3 linked regions of the Schizosaccharomyces pombe genome follow. Changing the gene in region 1 together with any one later gene gives a genetic interaction. Each region holds a gene or a part of one and is shown in the gene's direction. Other genes may lie near its edges.

Region 1 (6,337 bases):
TCGAGTTTATGATAATGACCTTCCCGATTCAATGGATGTTCGAAACAACCCAAAAGGATGATGGTAACAATGGCACCAGCAAGAGTTCCGAAACCTTGGAAGGCAAAAATTAAAGAAATAAGTGTACCACGTCGTTTAATTTTACTACGCTCAGAAGTGATAGCGGCAGACATTGGATAATCACCACCAATACCTACACCGAGCAACCAACGCCAACAGAAAACCCACATCATTTTCGAAAGAGGAGAATGAATGCTTTTAGGCATAGCGATAACCAGAACAGTAGCGATGATAACAATAACCATTTCTTTACCGTAGACAAATTTACGGCCAAAGAAATCACCCATAAAACCAAATAACAGTTGTCCAAAAATGTTACCAATATTGGCTGACGCATTTACAAGACCACGAATACCAGAGGGATAATGGCCTTTTCCTGTGGGACCTTTTTCAATACCACCCCAATAAAGATATTCAAAAATGGGAGTAACTAAATTGATGATAAAAAGATCGTAACTGTCAAGGAAAAACCCGACACCTGCAAGCATCATAAGTTTAAATTCGCGCTTTGTCAACCCCAAGTAATAGCGACGCTCTTGCGCACCCTCTTCGACTTGGTCGAGAGGTACTGCATCGTCGTTATACTCATCAGACTTAGATCCAATGTTTAAAATTTTGCTCCCAAATGCCATCTTGTGATTTCCTTGCGTTCAAAATATGAGAGAAAAGGAAAGCAATGAATGATAAAGTAAGTCTTAATCGCTGCTTTATGCAAATTAATGAAGTCCGAATGCGGTTGCAATTAGAATTAAGAAAACTGAGTACCGGTGGTTTACACACACAGATAATTCAGTATGCAATGGAGCAATATATATAGTAAACTACCAGTTTGTCAGATTGGTGGCTTTGTTATAGAAAAAAAATTAATAATTAAGATCAAAAGCTTTGGTGTTGACGTTCCCTGGCAACCGGCACATTCACCACCTGCTTAATCTTATTTCAAAACAAAATAGCAAAACAGGAAGAAATCGGAAATGCAAAACACTATGTTTATAAGTAAACCGTCCAATTTGCTTTGTAACTGATATGAATCCAATAAGGAAATATAAAAAAATAGTAAAAAAATATTAACAATTAAAATTTTCTATTTCAGGATTAAGGTAACGCGGTGTTAGAAAACTGAGGGAAAGTAATGGGTCAATTTGGTTTAAGATTTGCACTTTAAAGTAAAAGAATTAGCACTAGCGGACAACTGCAAAAACAGACAATTATACTAAAGGGGTATCAGTTCATAAAAAAGTTGCAAAAGTGGTAATACCCTCGTTAGACCCACTCGGAAATCTTAAGTTAATAACGTTGACATTACTAATTGAGACAAAATTGTAGTTAAGAGACAAACTCATACTGCAGAGAACTCAATACGGTATGCATTCAAAATGAAATTTGCGAAAATAAAAATCAGTATGTCATTATACAATACAGAATTGGCCCAAGTAAAACACGGTTTAATCGTCGAGCTGTTTGGTTTTTTCAATTCCATGGAAAGCACGCGATGTCGTTGTTTTAAAACCAGTAATCGGCCGGTTTCAAAAGTATACATTCCAGAATACCACGGATTGATGCTGTGTAGCTCAATGCATGCCCACACACAGAACACCCGGATAAGTTGGTTCCGATATCCTCCAACCCGATAGGATGTTGGGTGATAAGATTTCTTTGACAAAATAGACATCAACAAAGCATGCATGCTTCCACTTCCATTAAACTCGGCGAACGGAAATGCCGCCATCCTACAAAATTCCCCTCACCTCTCCTATTGTCGGTCTTTGAAATTAACAACTACCAGGTACCGAGCAGAATGTTCTGCACGGAATTGACCTGACAACCGGCATCCGCACAAAACAGCCACTTCAGCAATTTCGGTTCCAAGTATGTTCCATTCATGCACGTAAACCGTAGTTTATTTTAGGAACCTCAGTTTACCGAACGCTAAAATTTATTAGGCAGCATATACTGCCGAAGCAAAAAGATGAACGGATACGAGGATTTTACCGCCCGCCACCCTTCAACAAGTGTAATGGATATAAGATGATTTGATAGTATTCGAAAATTTTTGAATTTTCGTGTCGAGTAGCAAATTCCATTGTTTTACATTCTTGCTATCTAATTAAAAGCAACGATGAGTTAATCTTTCGTGCATTATTCTAGTTCGACAAAACGCAGAATAATTTTCAAGAAAAGACCGTGGAAACTAATTAATTATTATAAGGACAGATGTCGATATTAATAAATTTCAATTTCTAACGATTTTCATAGTTTAATTTGTTATGAATTAATTCTATCTCATCCTCTATGACTTATTTCGTTCTATTTCATACTACCAATGCGTTTAAATTAAAATTAAAAATTTGAATAGTTAGGTACTCAGGCTTCTTATATAGCTATTGATGCAGTGTGTGACGTCATTTTTTTAAATTGAAAAAGGGGGTTTTTGACAGGGTAAGATTGTGTACCGTTCGGTATGCAAACTGAACTGGAAGATTGGAAAAATTAAACCCTTTTCTGAAAATAATAGGAATTAAGTTAGGATAGTCGAAACAATTTCTTCCATATAACTATCGTGATCAGTCAAGGGCAGTTTACTAATTTATTTCCAGCGTCGTATATTGCCGAATTCACACGCATTTTACTCACATCGTTCGAAGATAAAAAAAATATAAATAATAAAAATTGAAATTCGTGTAAGCGAAAAGGAATGTGTGAGAAGGATTTTGGACTGTTCTATTCTCATGGGAATGTGAAGTAACTACTCTCTTGCTACCATAGTTGCTTGTTGTGACTTGACATCGTATAAGTGACTGTAAATTAGATGCCGGCTCCATGTCGCACAATAAACCTTTTGAGAGAAAATAAATTATGACATTCCTAAGACTCGGCAATTTTGATTTGTTATTTTTTTTTATTCTCTCAACATTTCCCTAGATTCACAGTCGAGAATGATACGTTGATACACATCCTTTCACGGTAATCTGCAATCCCTGTTTATGGTTTTACATCGTCCTTCGTAATTCTTGTCTTTCTTATATATATATGGAGGAGTGCGTTTGAGATACGCCAGGACTCTAGAGAATTCTTCTCTTTCATTTATCTACGATAAAGTCTTCGTTTCTCCTCTCATTCTTTCACTAGAATAGAGAAAAAGAAGGACAATTGCAAAAGCTCTTTTTATAATTCAATCTTCCTTCTCAATTTTTTTTTCTATTTTCAAGCAAACCAACGGATTTTGACGTTCGTCTTTTCGTTATCTTTCAAAGTTAGCTATTTTAAAGAAAAAATGGATTTAAACTTATGTTTGCTATGTGGTAACTCCATCGATGCCGAAGGATTGTATTGCTCAAATGAATGTCGAATTCAGGATAAAGCTACGACAGAGCTGTTTTCTGATCCCTTGAAGTCGCCTTCTCTCAACGAGACAATAGACTACCTTGCTTTGAATTACTTTGATCTTTTCAGCAGACGATCTTCAATGTGCTCTTCGTCGAATTCCTCAATTTATTCTGGGATATATTATACCGAATTGAAGAATTATAGTGTTGAGAATTAGAAAATTTTTTACCTTTAATGTTTTTTCTACTCTTTGAAGCATTTCTCTTCTATTTGATCGAGCTACATAAATTATCGGTTTTGAGGCTATTGGAAGTTAGTATCAAATAAAATTTGGTATAGTTTGGATTTCCCTAATCATTTTTTCATTTTCGGCTTCATTTGTTTTTTACATTCTCTTTCTTAGTTACTTACCTACAGTTCTTTCGCGTTTCCTCGGATTTTTTTTCTTTTCTTTTATCACCCTCACTAATTGCATTATTTATCTTTAATTTTCTTTTGAAATTAAAAAAAAAAGAGGGTCTACTTTAATTTTTTTTTCTTCAATCCTGAGCTCATTTAGCATCACTTTAGAATGTTTCATAATGATATTAAGGGATATCCATTTAAATATATTACGGAGCTTGTCACTCTACCCTTGAGTCTATCTTAAAAAAATACATTTACAGAATCATTTGTTTACGATAACATTATTGATATTCATTTATACATTTAAAGCTTTTTTTTTTATTAAAAAGCATTTTCTTTATATTAATAGGACTAACGTCAATTTCCTTTCATTTGCATACATTCGGCAATAATGACTAGCAATTAACACCAATGCTAGAACGATCTTTTTTGTTTTATTATAGTGTGCCTAATTTTCTTTATTTTTCGTTATTTGTGGCTGCATTTTTTATTTATTTATTTATTTATTTATTTACATCTTGTCATTTAGTTAAAAATTTAATGAACTATTTTTGTTTAACTAATATTAATTTGTCATTTCATCTTTTCTTTATACATCTTATTTTACTGAATCAGAGTTATTTGAATTAAATAATAATTAATTTCGCTTCTCGTTTTCTATGCACCATACAACTAGTAAAGATTTATTAAAGATTTTTTATATACTAAACTTTTAAAAATGTGTACAAAAAGTGGGACGTGTAGATGTCACTGATTTGGATTTTTTCTGTAAATTAGCTTCGGCAAATTTATTAGAATAAGAACAGTAAAAAAAAAATAAAGATTGGAATGTGCTTAAGATTTTTCTCAAGAAGTGTAAATGCTACGAATTCAATAATTATAATAAATTTGTAAATAATATAAAGAATCACAAATGCAGAATTACCATATCATTGATGTCTACATGAGTTAAGACCTTGGCGAGTTTAATAGTACATGAACATCATAAAAAATTTCAAAAATAAACTTAATATTGCCACAGGATGGAGATTTAGTATCCCATTTGTTTAGTATCCTGCTAGCTCATCCATAACTGGAAAATTAGGAAATAAACAACGAAATACTGTTTATAATCAATGAATATTCAAGGAAAAACAACCAACCAAAATTTACAGCATAATAATTAACGACGAAAAGATGGAAATACCGTAACGATGCGCAAACCTCCATACTGAAGTTGTAAATGAATCAGTCAACCGTTGGAAACAGCGTAGTTCATATTCTAAAGTGTGGTAGCGAATATCTTTCTTAGTATTTCTAGCTGCCGAGAGATCTACCAACGAACTCTAGGTCTCCGCAAAATTTGACAAGAGTGGTACTCGGCCTGGATAACTTTATGTTCAGAAGAAAGATCATCGTCATGGCATATGATTATCAAAAATTCCCCGTGTTTAAGTATCACAACTCAGATAACAATACCAAGGAGAATAGGAAACCATAGAATACAGTCCGTGAGTAGACACTCAAGGAAATTGACATCAATTCACAGTCTCCATTGCAAAGTCTTGGTGTGGATATATTATATTATAATATTAATACAGGAAACAATGAAAACGCTTGAAATAATGATGCCTGATATTTTCGAAACACCTTGCGCTGCAACGTGTGCTATTTTGAATTATATTCAGGTGCAACAACAGACATAGTTGAATTACCATGACTGTGCGAATTTTACTAAACTAGAATAATCAAGAAAGGCTGATAGTAACTAAAAACGTTTATTGCACAAATTGGGAACTGATTTACGTAGTAGAAATGAAAAGAAATGTAAATCCATGAAGCAACTTATATAATTGAAGAATGGTAAGCGCTCAACTAAATTGATATAATAATCCAAAAGCTATAACCCTTGAACTTGTTGAAGTAAAAAATCTCATCCATTGTTATTGAATAAATGAACACTTTTGAGTATTGCACTATAGCAATTTATATTATATCTAATCACTGCTCTGTTTCAATTGTCAGTTTGCCTATATATGGAAGATGATAGATGAGGTACGACGAAATCAAAGTTTTCTTTAGTATCGAACGGTTGGATGCATAAAATTAGATTAATGACTATTTAAGTAATTCCCCCTTTCTAAAAATTATTTTTTCTAATTTCAAGGCTACAATTTTATTTTATTTTTTTATTTAAATGGTTTTCTCTTACCAACAGCTCTTAGTTTAACAAATTGATGACTTCACATTGACTGCTTGCTTTGAGCAAATACTTGTAAAAGTAATAAAAAAGCGATAAGTAAATATGAAGGATTCTCCATAATTACGAGAACACATGCTTTAGGACTATATATTTTCGCTACAATCAATAACATTATTCCGGTTTGAGGTACTCTGAACACTGCTATTGCAAATAAATACTTAGATGTTCAGAACTGAACTAATAATATATTAAAAATCTTACAATAAAGTTAAATACATAAGCCTTGGCACATTGTTCTACGGAATAACCCCTTTATAAATCAAAATGCTCGCTGTGATTAAATAATTTAATGAATTCACAATT
Region 2 (5,721 bases), 3.5 Mb from region 1:
TCGATGAATAGTATGAATACCAGAATTTTAAAAAATAAATAAAAGAAAATCTATACATAAATATAAAGGGGCCTTTTTGTTTTTTTTTTGGTTTTCTCGCAAAAAAAAGTTATTCAGTCGTAAATTTCTACGTGGTAGATGAAAGAAAGTGTAGAAATTTCAACGTTAAATTAGCGAGACTTTTGTAGCACTGTATGAGGAACAGAATTTCAAGGCATACGAACAACTAAGCTAAAAGGCCCATGAAAAAGACAACACCAAAGTTCTTCCTTGGTAACATTGTTTCTATCCAGGCGGGTAGGATGTGGGCCGTGTGGCGCTCATTGTAACAATATATATGTATAGGATTTTGATAAAAACCGGTTGCTTGAACATGCAAGAATAATGAACGGTGACACGTGACAAAGTTACAGCGCAGAAATACGGTGACAACCAAAGCAAGACCAAGGGAAAAGGTTCGCTATAGATGTGAAACAAGTCATGGAAAGAAGGGTGGGGGAGGGCAAGCCAAGGCTGGGGGTAGCGTAAAAGTATAACTTTGTATAATTTTACATTGAAGAAAGAAATGGCACGCCATATGTAACGTGTTTTCTTTTCCATGGTGAATGTTTATTAAGAGAAACATGGATATGCGTACATTCGGGATTACATTGGTGTGGGAGGATTGAACATTATGGATTTGATTATTTAGAGAAAAAAAAAAAAAAAAAGAAAGAAAGAGAACGTACTATTTTTTGGTTGACTTTTATATTCCTAAGGTTTACTCCTAATGTCGCTACGGACATGAATCCGTGCAAAAGGACCTGAACCGCTGTTAACCCTTGCCTTAACCGTGTCTCGCCCCTGTTGTTGATATTTTTATGCGACTGAAAAATGCCTCACTGGTTCAACAAAGCATGAAAGGATTAGAAATTTTTAATGAGAAAATCGATGTTGAATAAAAATGACCAAAGAAGTGTTCTTGCATTTTCTTTCTCTACTTTTTTTTATTTTTCTAATTTTTCATCCTTGAAAAAAAAATACAAACGAGAATGATCTGCATCTTGATATCTTTAGCGAATATCCTGATTTTTGCATAACTGGCTTTTTTTTCTCTACGCTTCTCTTTGTCCCGCTGCACTGGATAGTACTAGATACATATGGAATAGGGTGTTTATACAAGATTCTGGAAAAAGTAGTAAATAAATGTCCCAAAAAGGAGAAACTTGACAGAAAAATAAAAACAAAGAAAAACAAGGAAGACATGGGAAAAAGTGGGAAAGGAGTTTTGATTTGAATACGCCTTACCTACTTAGAGCCAAAAAAAGAAAAAGAACTTGAAAAAAATTTTTCTTGAGAAGCCGTACATACGATATTTTCTATTTTTTTATTTTATTTTTTTTTTCGTTCTCGAGTTTAATTACTAAACCATCTTATTCTATTTTTACTCGTTTGTTGGAATGCGATTTTTCTAGCACATAACCGAAACACGCAGCGTTCGTTATCTGATCAAAGGAAAATCATTGAAAACATAGTATGCAAAAAAGACCCTCATGGGTTTGTAAACAAGATTCATACGTCCTTTAATAATCGATTTCATGAAATGAATGAATTCCAGTAGTAGGTTAAAATTTTTCCAAAAGATTCTGATGCGTTTAGCACTATTGTATTCTGCATATAGCAAAGCACATGGATGTATGTAGGATGGATACATGTGGGATGGGTACGTGAAAATGTGGGATAGATGTACCTATGTGGGATGTTTTGCATACCTACAGAGGAAGCACAGGTGGGATCGGATCCAGTAGCTACTACAGTTGGTGATTGTTACTGTTGGCAGAGTGTTGCATCCTAGCTCTTTGCTGAGGAGTTATTGCTTCGTGGCAAACTACAGAGTAACACGTGCTAGATCCCGCGAACGTTAGATTCAAAGATCCCAAACACTTACAACAAGGTTACATGAGTATAAGTAAATGGTACGTGAATTCTACGTTACCGGTCGAGGCAGAAAGTTGCTTCCGACCGTCTTCAGAATCAAGTCATTCCATGGAATTGTAAGACAATGTGTGAAACAACAACGAGATTTCACTTCTTTTTTAGCTAGTTCTCCCGCTATGGGTGTCGCACAAGGACAACAGGTAAAATTAATTTTGATGCTACTCATTGAGACATGGGAAACAAAACATCAATCATGCCACAGTCATTTCATTTTATTAGAATTCACTCATCTTTTTGTACGCAAGTTTTCGCAAATATTTTTCGAGTTCCGGTTGTTTGCTCACCTACTATCATAAATACAATGTATAATCAATAAACGATTCGCACTTTGTCGTTAGAAATCGAAAAAAAATAAATAAATAAATAAATAGATATATAAAAGTAAAACCATTCTCTAATAGTGAAATATATTTATATCTCTATCATGTGTAAATTTTGTTTTATTATTTTTTCTCTTTTTATTTTTACTTCTCTAGTTCTCTATTATTGAATTCCATTTATTTTATTCTATTTTATTATAATTTAAACTAATTTCTTTTTTTTCTCATTCATTCCCAACCGTCAGTTTAATTTTTCATCCCTGCCCTGCACATCTTTATACATGCTATATTTCGACCCCACCTATCGCCTTAAATCTCTCGTTGAAAAAAAGTCATCATCACCATGGTTCTCCATTTTGCTCCGCTACTGACTGCATCGGTGCCTCTTTTTACAGTCCAAAGATGTGCGATCAGCATCATGTTGTTGTGAGCTGGCGTACAACTGTCTTCTCACATGTATTTTTGGGGTTTAAAGGCGGAGAATATGATGCGAAAGGTCGCTTAAAGTGAGTAGAAGAGTATTCGAGAATTAAAATGAAAAAATAAAAAATGTAGTGTGTTTTTACTATTGTATATGACACCCCGGCTGAGCTAGCGTTTGTGTGTGCATTTAGTATGCGAGTTAGTACACACAGTGTTTTTCTCGGTTTCCCACTTCCGACTCAAATCCCCCACATCAGTCGTTCTGCTTTCTTCTCTTGTGTGTTGTAATCAAATTATGAAGAGGTAACATTGTACGCAACTCACGCAATGTATTAGCATATGCAGTCGGTCGGATGTGCATTATGAGATCAAACACAGTGTATGCTGTTTTCTTAACGTATTTTACCGATAGTATGGTATCTCAGGTCAGATCATCTGGACAGATTGCGTGCGCAGTTTTCAGATGTATATATAGAGCGCAGCAGTCCGACTGAGAGGTCGTAGAAGATTAACATATAGATCAGCAAAGGGTTTTTGACTTATACTCGCTGTTCTTGATTGCTTGAACTAAACGAACTGTCCTTCTTAAGTGTCTCTTGTTTTCCTCGACAAACAGTTTCGCTGTGTGATTGAGTAGAACTCACTTTTCCTCGTTTTCTCCATCCTAACCTCTTTTCGTCTTGTTGAATCACCCGCAGGACTCATCTCTTCCTTGAAATTGAGAAGGATTTGTTTTATTTTATTGTGAAGCTAAGTTCTTTTCTTTCTTCTTCCTCTACTAAATCGGAAATATCTTCCAAACGTCCCGTATATTTCGACTTTGAAATTTCTTTTTAGTCCGCTTTATACGCTCATCCGTTTTATCTGGTTTTCTTCAATAGGATCCAATACTAGCTCGCCTCAGCTTGGCTCATTCATTGGTTTTTCCTCGTTAACAAGTCATTTTAATTTTCTTTTTCTAATTTCTTCATCCTTTTGTATTCGTTAGAGACATGGATTTGGATTATTGCATAATTTGCGGAAAACCCACTACTGGCAACTTGTATTGCTCTCGTGAATGTCATCTGCAGGATTGCCCCGGCTGTGGTTCGACTTCGGAGCAGTGTTCTTACTCTAAGTCGGCTGATCTTCATATGTTATCTTCCCAATATTTAGATCATTTCCGAAGAAGGTCTTCCATGCCTTCCCCATCCACTTCGTCTTCTCTTTTGAACGGTTTTGTCGCTTCCAGACTTGCTGTTCTTTAATTTTACCTTACATTGCATTATTCCAACGACGGTGTCGTTGATATACACACATTCATTGCCAACGGCTCAAAAAAATTATATTTCATTTCTCTCTATCTCGGTTTTTTTTTTCATTTTCTCCTGTTTAATCTGGGAAAATTTATTTACTTATTTCTTTATCTTCCGGTTCCATTTTATTTTTTATTTCTCATGGGTACTTATATTTAATTGTGCCTTTTTTTAAACCTATTTTTATTTTATAATTCTTATAACTTGAAGTTTTTTTTTTCAAATTATTATGATACTTAAAAATTTTTATGCCTTTCTTAAATGATGATCACTACACTAACCGTGTGTGAATAGTTGATCATTGATTTTTGCGGTTCATACCGTGTATGTTTCTTAAATTGATAGCCAAGCATCCTTACATACTATCTTAAATTTCCAAATGATGTTGGTGCGTATATTTTGTTTATGCACTTCATTATTTCATGAGTTGTACAACTTAATTCGTTCACGCAATGTTGATGGTATGTTTCCATTACAATGTTTGTTTGGCTTCATTGGGGTTTTTTATGATTTTCTATGATAACGATATTGTATGAGTGGATTTGGTACTCGGACTTTTTCGTCAATTCGTAATGGCATTTTTTATTTCTTTCGAAATACGATGGATATTTTTTACGATTCTTTTATTCTTATGATATGGACTTTTGTTTCGGTGTGTCACGCAACTATTCTTACTTCTTTTCTGCAATCGCATTTTATTTGCACTGTCTAACTGTATTCGAGATTTGTCATTCGTGCTTTTTACATTATGCTCTGGCATCTGGGACAACTTTATGCTGAGTTCTTCTGAGCGCGTATTTTTAAAATACATAGAAGCTCTAGGCTTTCCCTCACTTCATCATTTCTTTTGCATATCAACATTTTGCATTGTCCCATTGGTTTTGAAGCTTTAGAGTTATTTATGTGTGTCGTGCTTTAAGTTCTCAGTTTTTGGCTCATCGTTTACGTGGGATTTTTGCATTAGACAATTTTTAGAGGTTGCGTATCAAACTATTTTATACCCAAGCACTTTGTTTTCTACGAATCGATACGGACATTTAACTGGCATCAGTACTTTAAAAAACGATAAAATATTTATTTTGATGAAATTTATATTGTTATGATAAAAAAAAAGCATAAAAATTGAAAACGCTTTTAAAAATATTCAATTTTATTAAAGTGCTTTGGTTGCTAGAAGAAAAAATAAAATTAAAAAATTAACGTATATCTACTGTGGTTGACATGTAAACGAATTATTTTGTGCGCAAAGGTAATACATAAATACTGGCTGAATAATAAAAGCGCTTTGTACAGCAGTATTAGGTTGAAAGGTTGTTTTACTTTTCTAGTTAAGTGTTCATCTTTATTCAAATGGATCTATTTGGGATGCCAACTAGAGGGCAGGAATTAGCAAAAATAAATTTAATAGTAAGTGCCCACACCAGGAATCGAACCTGGGTCGCATCGGCCACAACGATGAGTCTTAACCACTGGACCATGTGAGCATTTGTTATAAGAGCTCAAAATAGAAATACATATTTAGAAATTTGAAACTAAAAATGAAATTGTTAAATGCAGTAGAACTAAGGTGGATTAAGACTCTAAAAAAAAAATAATAAATAGAAAGAAGTTGTTTGCATAAAGTCAAAGGGTTAAAAAAAATATCATTCTTTGTCGCGTAAACACTTGATTCTGTTGTTCTCGCGTACTTCTTCCCATCAATTTGA
Region 3 (8,307 bases), on another chromosome or scaffold:
AATTAATTAATTTATTAGTCAATTTATTCATTTAATTAATTATTTATTCTAACTGTCGGCAAATTTGCTGGCATAGTACCGTGACTAAAATAACACTTTTCATGCATGTAAGGGAATGTGGTACTCAAGGCAAAGTTAAAAAGAGTATATTGACAAATTTAATTACTCCACTGTTTTTTACATCGCTAAAAGAATTTTCGTACATTTGAACAGCCAACAAGTCATACGATTCTATTATTCTAAAAATCAACATCGAATACGATAACGCATTCGAACAAATGAAATAACACGTTTTTGTCTGTCTTGATATGAATTTTCATGTTGTTACAAATTTTAACTCGAAAGCACATCCTAGGGGAATATGTCTCTTTTTCGCTTGCCAACACATGTACGAGGAAGGAGAAGTTAACAAAAAAGAGATCCAAAAAAAAAAAAAAAAAAAAGCACCCCCGATACATGCAAAATTCAAATGCCCTTAACCCCTAGTCCAACAGTGTTTGGTTCCGATTGTTATAGTATAATCTATTATGTGCTGCGATATAAGGTTTTCTCTATCAGTACTTGTTGAATGGATTAGTTAATTGAAAATCTATCGCCCACCTTCGAGACAGACCTGTTATCCACATGAATGTCTCGCCTTTTCTCTCTGTATACTCCGTGGAACAGGAACAGGAATAAACGAGAAACGAGAAACGAGGTTAGCAAGTACCCACTAGTAAGATAGATAAGTGAAAGACCGAGTTAAAAAGGTTGACCATGTTTTTGATAGACGATCAAATTGAGTGTTAGGTTGCAAGAAGGAGTAAACATGGTTGAATGCAAAAATACAAATCATCCGAGAGGAGAGTAAGCAGGAGGAAAAACAAGTAATGAAAAAAACAAGCAAACGAATAGATAAACAAAACAGAATACTATTACTAATTAGTCTTCGTTATACCAATCTTGTGATGTCAAAATGCAAAAAACTGCATTGCAACCATCATAAAAAATAATTTATTTATTTATTTAACTATATAAATATATGAATTTAAATATAAATAAATAAATATATTATTTTTATTTAACAAAAATCACTCATCTATAATTTTCATAGTAAACCTACACAGTCATTCGTTTTTCAGTAACCGCGATCGTTTCATTTTCATATGCGCGGATTATTAATAGAAGCAAAAGAATTCAACAGCGACTCATTTTCACACAAAGAAGCAAGTGTAAAAGTTAATTGCCTACGCAAATACTACCTACAAGAGTAGCATATCGACCAAAAGTGTATTTCCACTCAAAGTGTCAAAAGGGAAATATAAACCATATTAGAAATATTTCTCATACATACAAAAACGGGACAAGAAGCATGAAGATTAAACAGCCATGGAATGGTCTCGTTTGTTGTTTTTATCTGTTACCTCGGTTGCGTTGTAGTTTTTTCTTTTTGTGGGAGAGAGAAAGCGCAAATTTAAGATACCGATAGACGTCAGCCGAATCTCTTATACAGATCGGCTAGAAGAAGTTTGAAGCGTGTGTCACCTAATGAAATGGAAAGAAAGTAATTGCCTGTCCAGCGTAGTGTAGTTTATGCTTTCCCTTCGGCAAACATTTCCAATGAATTCAATGGTAATTGTTTGAATTTCCTATGGGATCCCCTCTGTTACTATGTCAGAAAACCTCTACAAAGATATTTGGTATTTCCTCACAACCGCTTCCTTGTTTTCTCTTCGGTCGGTTGAATGTCCCGGAGCAAGTGACACCCATAGTGGTGGTATCGGCGTAGCGTGAGTGAGTTTTCAGATAAACCAAGCACTGGAGCTGAGATCGATCCATAGAATAGCGAGGCGGACGAACAAAACAAATTAATATGCTATTTGATTTGCTTTCTTTGTTTGTAAGGCGATTTATTTTTAACAACTGAAGCTTAGTGCGTGCGTGATACACAATTACAAAGTCATCGTCAGCTTGACCTAGAAGAAAGTTAACAAACAATTTTTTATTAGCAAAGGGAATATATTTTTTTTTTTCGCTTTTTTTTTTTTTTTTTTTTTTTACAATTCTATCAAACAGACGTTATGTAGGCTAAGCTACTTGCCACAAAACCATTCTTGGACAAATGAAACAAAGATAAAAAAAAAAAAAAAACAAGAATAAAACGAATGAAAAATTTTTTTTTCTTTCAATACTTCAAAGAAAAAAATTTACACACACACAGGAGCTAGGTCCTTCTTTTTTTTTTTTTAGGTAATTAATAATAATGCGTTGCGTACCCAAGCAAATCATTCGTAGCCAGCCAATGCAAGCAACTTATGAATGAAGCGCACGATGAGCAATAAGGGTGGGTTAGTATTTATGCCAATGGAGTTAGTGCTTGCGAATTGGATTAAACTGGACTGCATTTTACAATTCATATCTTTGTTATAAAGGTCTGTTAAAAGTTAAAACTACGCATTTCCCTGCTTCCCCCTTGCCCCTCCTTTCATTTACTCTCTCTCCTTAACTGCCGATCCAGTGAATGAAACATGGATTGTCGGTTTTTGAAAGCACTAAGTGTGTGTGTATGTATGGGCAGAAAAAAAGTAGAGAAAACCCCAAGATAGAGCTGAATAAGATGTAAGAATACATTTTGCATTCATCGAGTATGCGGGTCTTATAAAAAATGCACAAAAATACAATTAAAATATAAATCAATTAATTAAATAATTAATTAAATAAATAAAAGAAATAAAAATAATTATAAAATAAATAAGTTTACAAACGAAAAATGGGAGCGAGATTCAATAGCAAAATTTCCTCTTTACCCCCAATGTACGATATCAATCAATATCTTGTCTGATCATCCATCACCACCACCATATGGTAAACAAATAGAATTAGAAAAACCATTGTAGCAGATAATAAAAGTTCTAGTTTTTCATGGTTTATAAAATAAACAAAGAATCATACTTATAACTATGTCTCTCAGTTTGGAATACACATTCCTTATCCTCAAACCATATGCTCCAGTTCTATAGCCTTTTTTTTTTCTTCCTCTTCTTTTTCATTTCTATCTGCCAAGCTACATTGGTTTACGCTTAACTTGAACGTTGTCGCTGCTGCAGCAAGTTTTTTTCTTTCTTATTCACCTTGACCAATAATCATCCTTTATCTCTCCCCTCTCCCCGCCAAAGCATACGGGATTGAATGTAGGTAAAAATTTGCTACACATCCTCTTCACACTCGGATTATCCCGTAGGTTACTTTTAGCAAAAAATTGAAAACTCATCAATAAAATAAAATGAGTTTCTCTTAAACTATTCATCAATCAATAAAGCCGTAAATTTCCATCTTTTTCTTTTTTTTTTGTAACAAAAAACGACCTGCTCTCTGTTTTTTCTACTTTGGCATACCAATTTACAGCACTACAATCTCGATCGCGTCTTTTTTCTAATCTTACATAAACGGTGGAAGTGCTGTCTTCCCAATCGCCACGTGATGAGTGTTACAGTGACATCGGCTTACTCCAACATCATCACATTTCTTTTATGGGAGAACTCGTTGTCAGCGAACCGTCAGTTTTTGCCTCTTGCAGACGTTTGTTGGTTGATATGGTGGATACACACTTGCGTAACATCGCTACGGTATTATCGTGTCGATACGTGTAAACGAAACCGTCGCTTCTTAGATAAGGAACAGATTTCCACATCATTGAAGCGCTAGTCTCAGTTTCCCACATATTAAACTCGCCTCTTCTGGCGTTTCAACGTTTAGTTTTTCTCGTCTAGGAAAAAGGTAGTTTGTCTGTGTACATATATCCCTATATATCTGCATCCACATAAACTTGCTCATCTGTATTATATACACATATACATATACATACAACGTAGTCAAAAGTATAGCGCTTTTTACTACGCCTAGTATATTTTTTGGGGAAGAGTAAAAATAAGTAATTTCTCTTTTCAATCGGTTGAATTTGTAACTGATTTCCCCTTGCTCGTCGGAACCGAGTGTGCCGTTTCCTTTTTCAAGTCATACATACTGCCTTCACACTCGACACACACCCTTTTTTTTCTTTTTTTCTCCAATATTCCTTTTTCTTTTTGCCTACAAAGGAGTAGCTCAGCTAGTGTTTGCAAACCCATCTTACACTATTATCTCTTCTTATATGCTCAATCTTTTTAATTGATATATTGATATATGTGTGCACAATACACACTTTTATAATCGCTCCAGGCTCTCATATACCGAATTGCATCACAAAGGTTACCAGAACATAAATTGATACATTTACCCTTTTCCTTTACAAAGTACAAAAGCCATTCCTTTTTATTATCCTCATTATTCAAAAGTTAAAAATTTCCCCTTAATTTCATTTGTCTTTGTTTCTTAATCCATATTTTTTTGTTGTTGCACATCGTGCTCCTGTGGGTTTGAGGCATTGGTAGTGAAGTAAACGTTTCACTCAAATAGCTTATTTTTTTCCTAATTTATCTTCTTGAATCTTAATTTGGAACTTTCCTTTCGAAATTTTCTTTTTTTCCAATCTATAAGAATCACATTGCTTCTTCGATAGAACGCTTGTTTATTCACAGCATTTTTTCTTTTCCTATCAGCAGATCAAGGCTTTCCTTCTTTTTATTTTCTAATAATTGTACTGTAATTTTTTTTATTCCAGATACATCTTTCCTCTACTGCTTTGATTCTTTCAATTCTTGGATACTTACTACACTTTCGTCTCGTACTATTAACTTTTCTCAGTTCTGCCTCATACTAATTCTGGCTTTTTATCTTTTTTTATAAACATCTAAATAATCATATCTTTTTTGTCTTGATTTTGATGTCTACAGCCTTATAACTCTGTCATACTTGTTCTCTCGTCCTTTTCTTTTTTTTCGATTTGTCGCGTCCCTTATTTATTCCCTTTTTACTCGTCTTTCCGCGACAAATCAATACATTTTCTTTCTTTTTCTTTTATTCCCTTTTTATTCACTCACTAGACATATCTTCTCTTCTTTTTCAGTAAAATTCAAAGAGGAAATCGGTGCTTTCTAAAAATCGATCATACTTTATTCAAGTTTCTAGTGCCATTGAGTTTTACAGACCCTTTAAACGTATTTTTTTTGTGTATTGTTAACATTTTTTACACTTGATTTTCCTGTGTCAATAAACTTGTTGGCTTGCTTGTTATTGTAGACGATCGTTTGTTTCTTTCCGTTTAACTTTTTTGGTCTTGCTCCTTAATCTTTTAAGTTTTGTTCTTCAATTATTTCCGCTTTACTTATATATTTGTCGAACTTATACTTTTCGATCCTTGTATTTCTTGCTGCAAGCTACGTTGTTTGCAGTCAAAAATACCTTTTGTTACGTATCAATTCTATTCTATTTTAAGGCTTACATAATCATTTATTTTTTCGATAGGATCCCCCTTGCAATTGAACTTTTTTTTCGTTCTTAAACTTGCATATTACGAACGCTAAGTGTATAAACAATAAGTTAGCAAGACTATATTCCGTTACCTCTCTTTTTGTCTTTTCTTTAGTTGATTTTTTATTTTTGAAAAGTATTCGCTTACTTTCTTTTTATAATAATTCTTTTATCTTACTTTGTATGGTTTTCTTTCCTGAGGCAATGCCCCTTGTTACTCTTTCTGAACGAATGGTTCCCCAGGTAAACACCAGTCCATTTGCCCCAGCACAATCATCATCTCCCTTACCCTCCAATTCATGTCGTGAATATTCTTTACCCTCACATCCTTCAACTCATAATTCTAGTGTTGCATATGTCGATTCACAAGATAATAAGCCTCCATTGGTTTCTACTCTTCATTTTTCTTTGGCTCCTTCCCTTTCGCCAAGTAGCGCACAATCTCATAATACTGCACTTATAACTGAGCCTTTAACATCCTTTATTGGTGGTACATCTCAATATCCATCTGCTTCCTTTTCCACATCGCAGCACCCTTCGCAAGTCTATAATGATGGCTCTACTTTAAATAGCAACAATACTACTCAACAGTTGAATAACAACAATGGATTCCAACCACCGCCTCAAAATCCTGGTATTTCTAAAAGTCGGATAGCTCAATACCATCAACCTTCTCAAACGTATGATGATACGGTAGATTCTTCATTCTACGATTGGTATAAAGCAGGTGCTCAGCATAATCTTGCCCCACCTCAGAGTTCGCATACCGAAGCTTCACAGGGTTATATGTATTCAACCAATACTGCGCATGATGCGACTGACATTCCCTCTTCATTCAATTTCTATAACACTCAAGCTTCTACGGCTCCCAATCCTCAAGAAATAAATTACCAATGGTCGCATGAGTATCGGCCGCATACCCAATATCAGAATAACTTACTGAGAGCTCAACCCAATGTTAATTGTGAAAACTTTCCTACTACTGTTCCTAATTATCCTTTTCAACAGCCTTCATATAATCCCAATGCTCTCGTGCCTTCATATACTACGTTGGTATCTCAACTTCCACCTTCACCTTGTCTTACTGTTTCAAGCGGACCATTGTCTACGGCTTCCTCTATCCCTTCCAATTGTTCATGTCCGTCCGTTAAATCTTCTGGCCCGTCTTATCATGCTGAACAAGAAGTTAATGTGAATTCATACAATGGTGGTATTCCTTCTACTTCCTATAATGATACCCCTCAGCAGTCAGTTACGGGTTCCTATAATTCTGGAGAGACAATGTCAACGTATTTAAATCAGACAAACACATCGGGTAGATCCCCTAATTCAATGGAAGCTACAGAACAAATAGGGACGATTGGTACTGACGGTTCGATGAAGAGAAGAAAACGTCGACAGCCGTCTAATAGAAAGACTTCAGTACCACGTTCACCAGGTGGTAAATCATTTGTATGCCCTGAGTGCAGCAAAAAGTTTAAACGATCTGAACATTTGAGAAGACATATTCGATCTCTACATACTAGTGAAAAGCCATTTGTTTGTATATGTGGAAAACGTTTTTCTCGTAGAGATAATTTACGGCAGCATGAAAGGTTGCATGTCAACGCAAGCCCTAGATTAGCCTGTTTTTTCCAACCTTCAGGTTATTATTCTTCTGGTGCTCCAGGTGCTCCAGTGCAACCACAAAAACCAATTGAAGATTTAAACAAGATTCCAATTAATCAAGGCATGGATAGCTCTCAGATTGAAAACACTAATTTAATGTTATCTAGTCAAAGGCCTTTGTCTCAACAAATTGTCCCAGAAATCGCTGCTTACCCAAATTCAATTCGTCCAGAACTTCTATCTAAACTACCAGTACAAACACCTAACCAAAAAATGCCTTTAATGAATCCGATGCATCAATATCAACCTTATCCTAGTTCTTAAGCATTTTTATAAATTAACTGCCTAAATTCGGGTTTTTTTTACATTGAACTGTTTTATAAGAATGTTTTCAATTATAATTTTTCATCAGCCTTTTTTCTACCTATTTACATGTTTACTAAATCTATTTTTTACGTTTCAAAATGGCAATTTCATTGTTTACTAGCATATCCTGCTTTGCTATCTTTAGGCTATTATCAAGGCATAACGCCGGATATAATACTTAAAGCTTGAGCGTGTTATATTATGAGGGACTATTTAGCGGTGATTTTTTATCGTTCCAATTTTTTAAAATTTTTTAGTTGTTTATCATAAAGGCTCGGAGCGATAGCTACAAATGATTTTCGTTTTGGGGTTCTTCAAGGAACGGTTTTACAAATCCAATAAACTAATGTACAGTGAAAGATATACTGTTATTTGTTGTTAATATGTACATGAAATAAACTATTTCAATGAATGACTGTTGTGTTTTCGGATGAAAACATATTGATCCTTTTTTTGTGAACATCTTAGCTGGATAAGCTAAAAAGTAAAGCCACTGCAAAGTATCATAAAAGACGTAACGTAAACTCCAAAAAAATAAAATAATAATAATAATAATAATAATAATAACGAATATAAAATTACATGGAGAGTTTATGGCAGAATTTAAATCACTCAACTCTCAAACAATGACAGGCCTGACATATGTTGCCAGGCCACCAGAAAGGACTCATGGTGGAATTACATTTGCTACAGCAGCAAGCGACATTGGTTGGCGCGATAGTCGGCTTACAAACTGCTATAGTATACTGAAGTAAATAGATATATGCCTTAGGGTACAAATTGCGTATATATTCGCTCCAAGCAGAATTATTAGTATTCGGAACAATGTCATTGCGCAACAAAAAGTTCCTAGGCAACTGTTCACTTGGTCCAAAAAGAACAGGCCGCAAAGAAGTCCAGGAATTGATCATGCATTTGTTGGTATTTATTTCTGTTACGTTGCCA

What was found. Genes that interact genetically often act in the same process or in processes that back each other up.
Region 2: of ecl3 (region 1) and ecl2, changing one enhances a phenotype caused by changing the other (phenotypic enhancement), as found in Schizosaccharomyces pombe (one study listed by BioGRID).
Region 3: of ecl3 (region 1) and hsr1, changing one suppresses a phenotype caused by changing the other (phenotypic suppression), as found in Schizosaccharomyces pombe (one study listed by BioGRID).

What each region holds. Positions count from the first base shown.
Region 1 is NC_003423.3:4,438,607-4,444,943, reverse strand, and holds ecl3 (protein Ecl3), read left to right. Parts: upstream 1-3,116; 5' UTR 3,117-3,334; coding exon 3,335-3,604; downstream 3,605-6,337. Other genes in the region: pho84 (inorganic phosphate transporter), read right to left, coding at 1-692.
Region 2 is NC_003423.3:960,507-966,227, reverse strand, and holds ecl2 (protein Ecl2), read left to right. Parts: upstream 1-3,712; coding exon 3,713-3,967; 3' UTR 3,968-5,221; downstream 5,222-5,721. Other genes in the region: SPOM_SPBP35G2.17 (uncharacterized protein), read left to right, coding at 1,953-2,273.
Region 3 is NC_003424.3:1,953,740-1,962,046, forward strand, and holds hsr1 (DNA-binding transcription factor Hsr1), read left to right. Parts: upstream 1-3,733; 5' UTR 3,734-5,571; coding exon 5,572-7,320; 3' UTR 7,321-7,807; downstream 7,808-8,307. Other genes in the region: Lid2 complex PHD finger subunit Snt2, read right to left, coding at 7,971-8,307. UniProt on the Schizosaccharomyces pombe protein: Transcription factor that globally supports gene expression in response to hydrogen peroxide.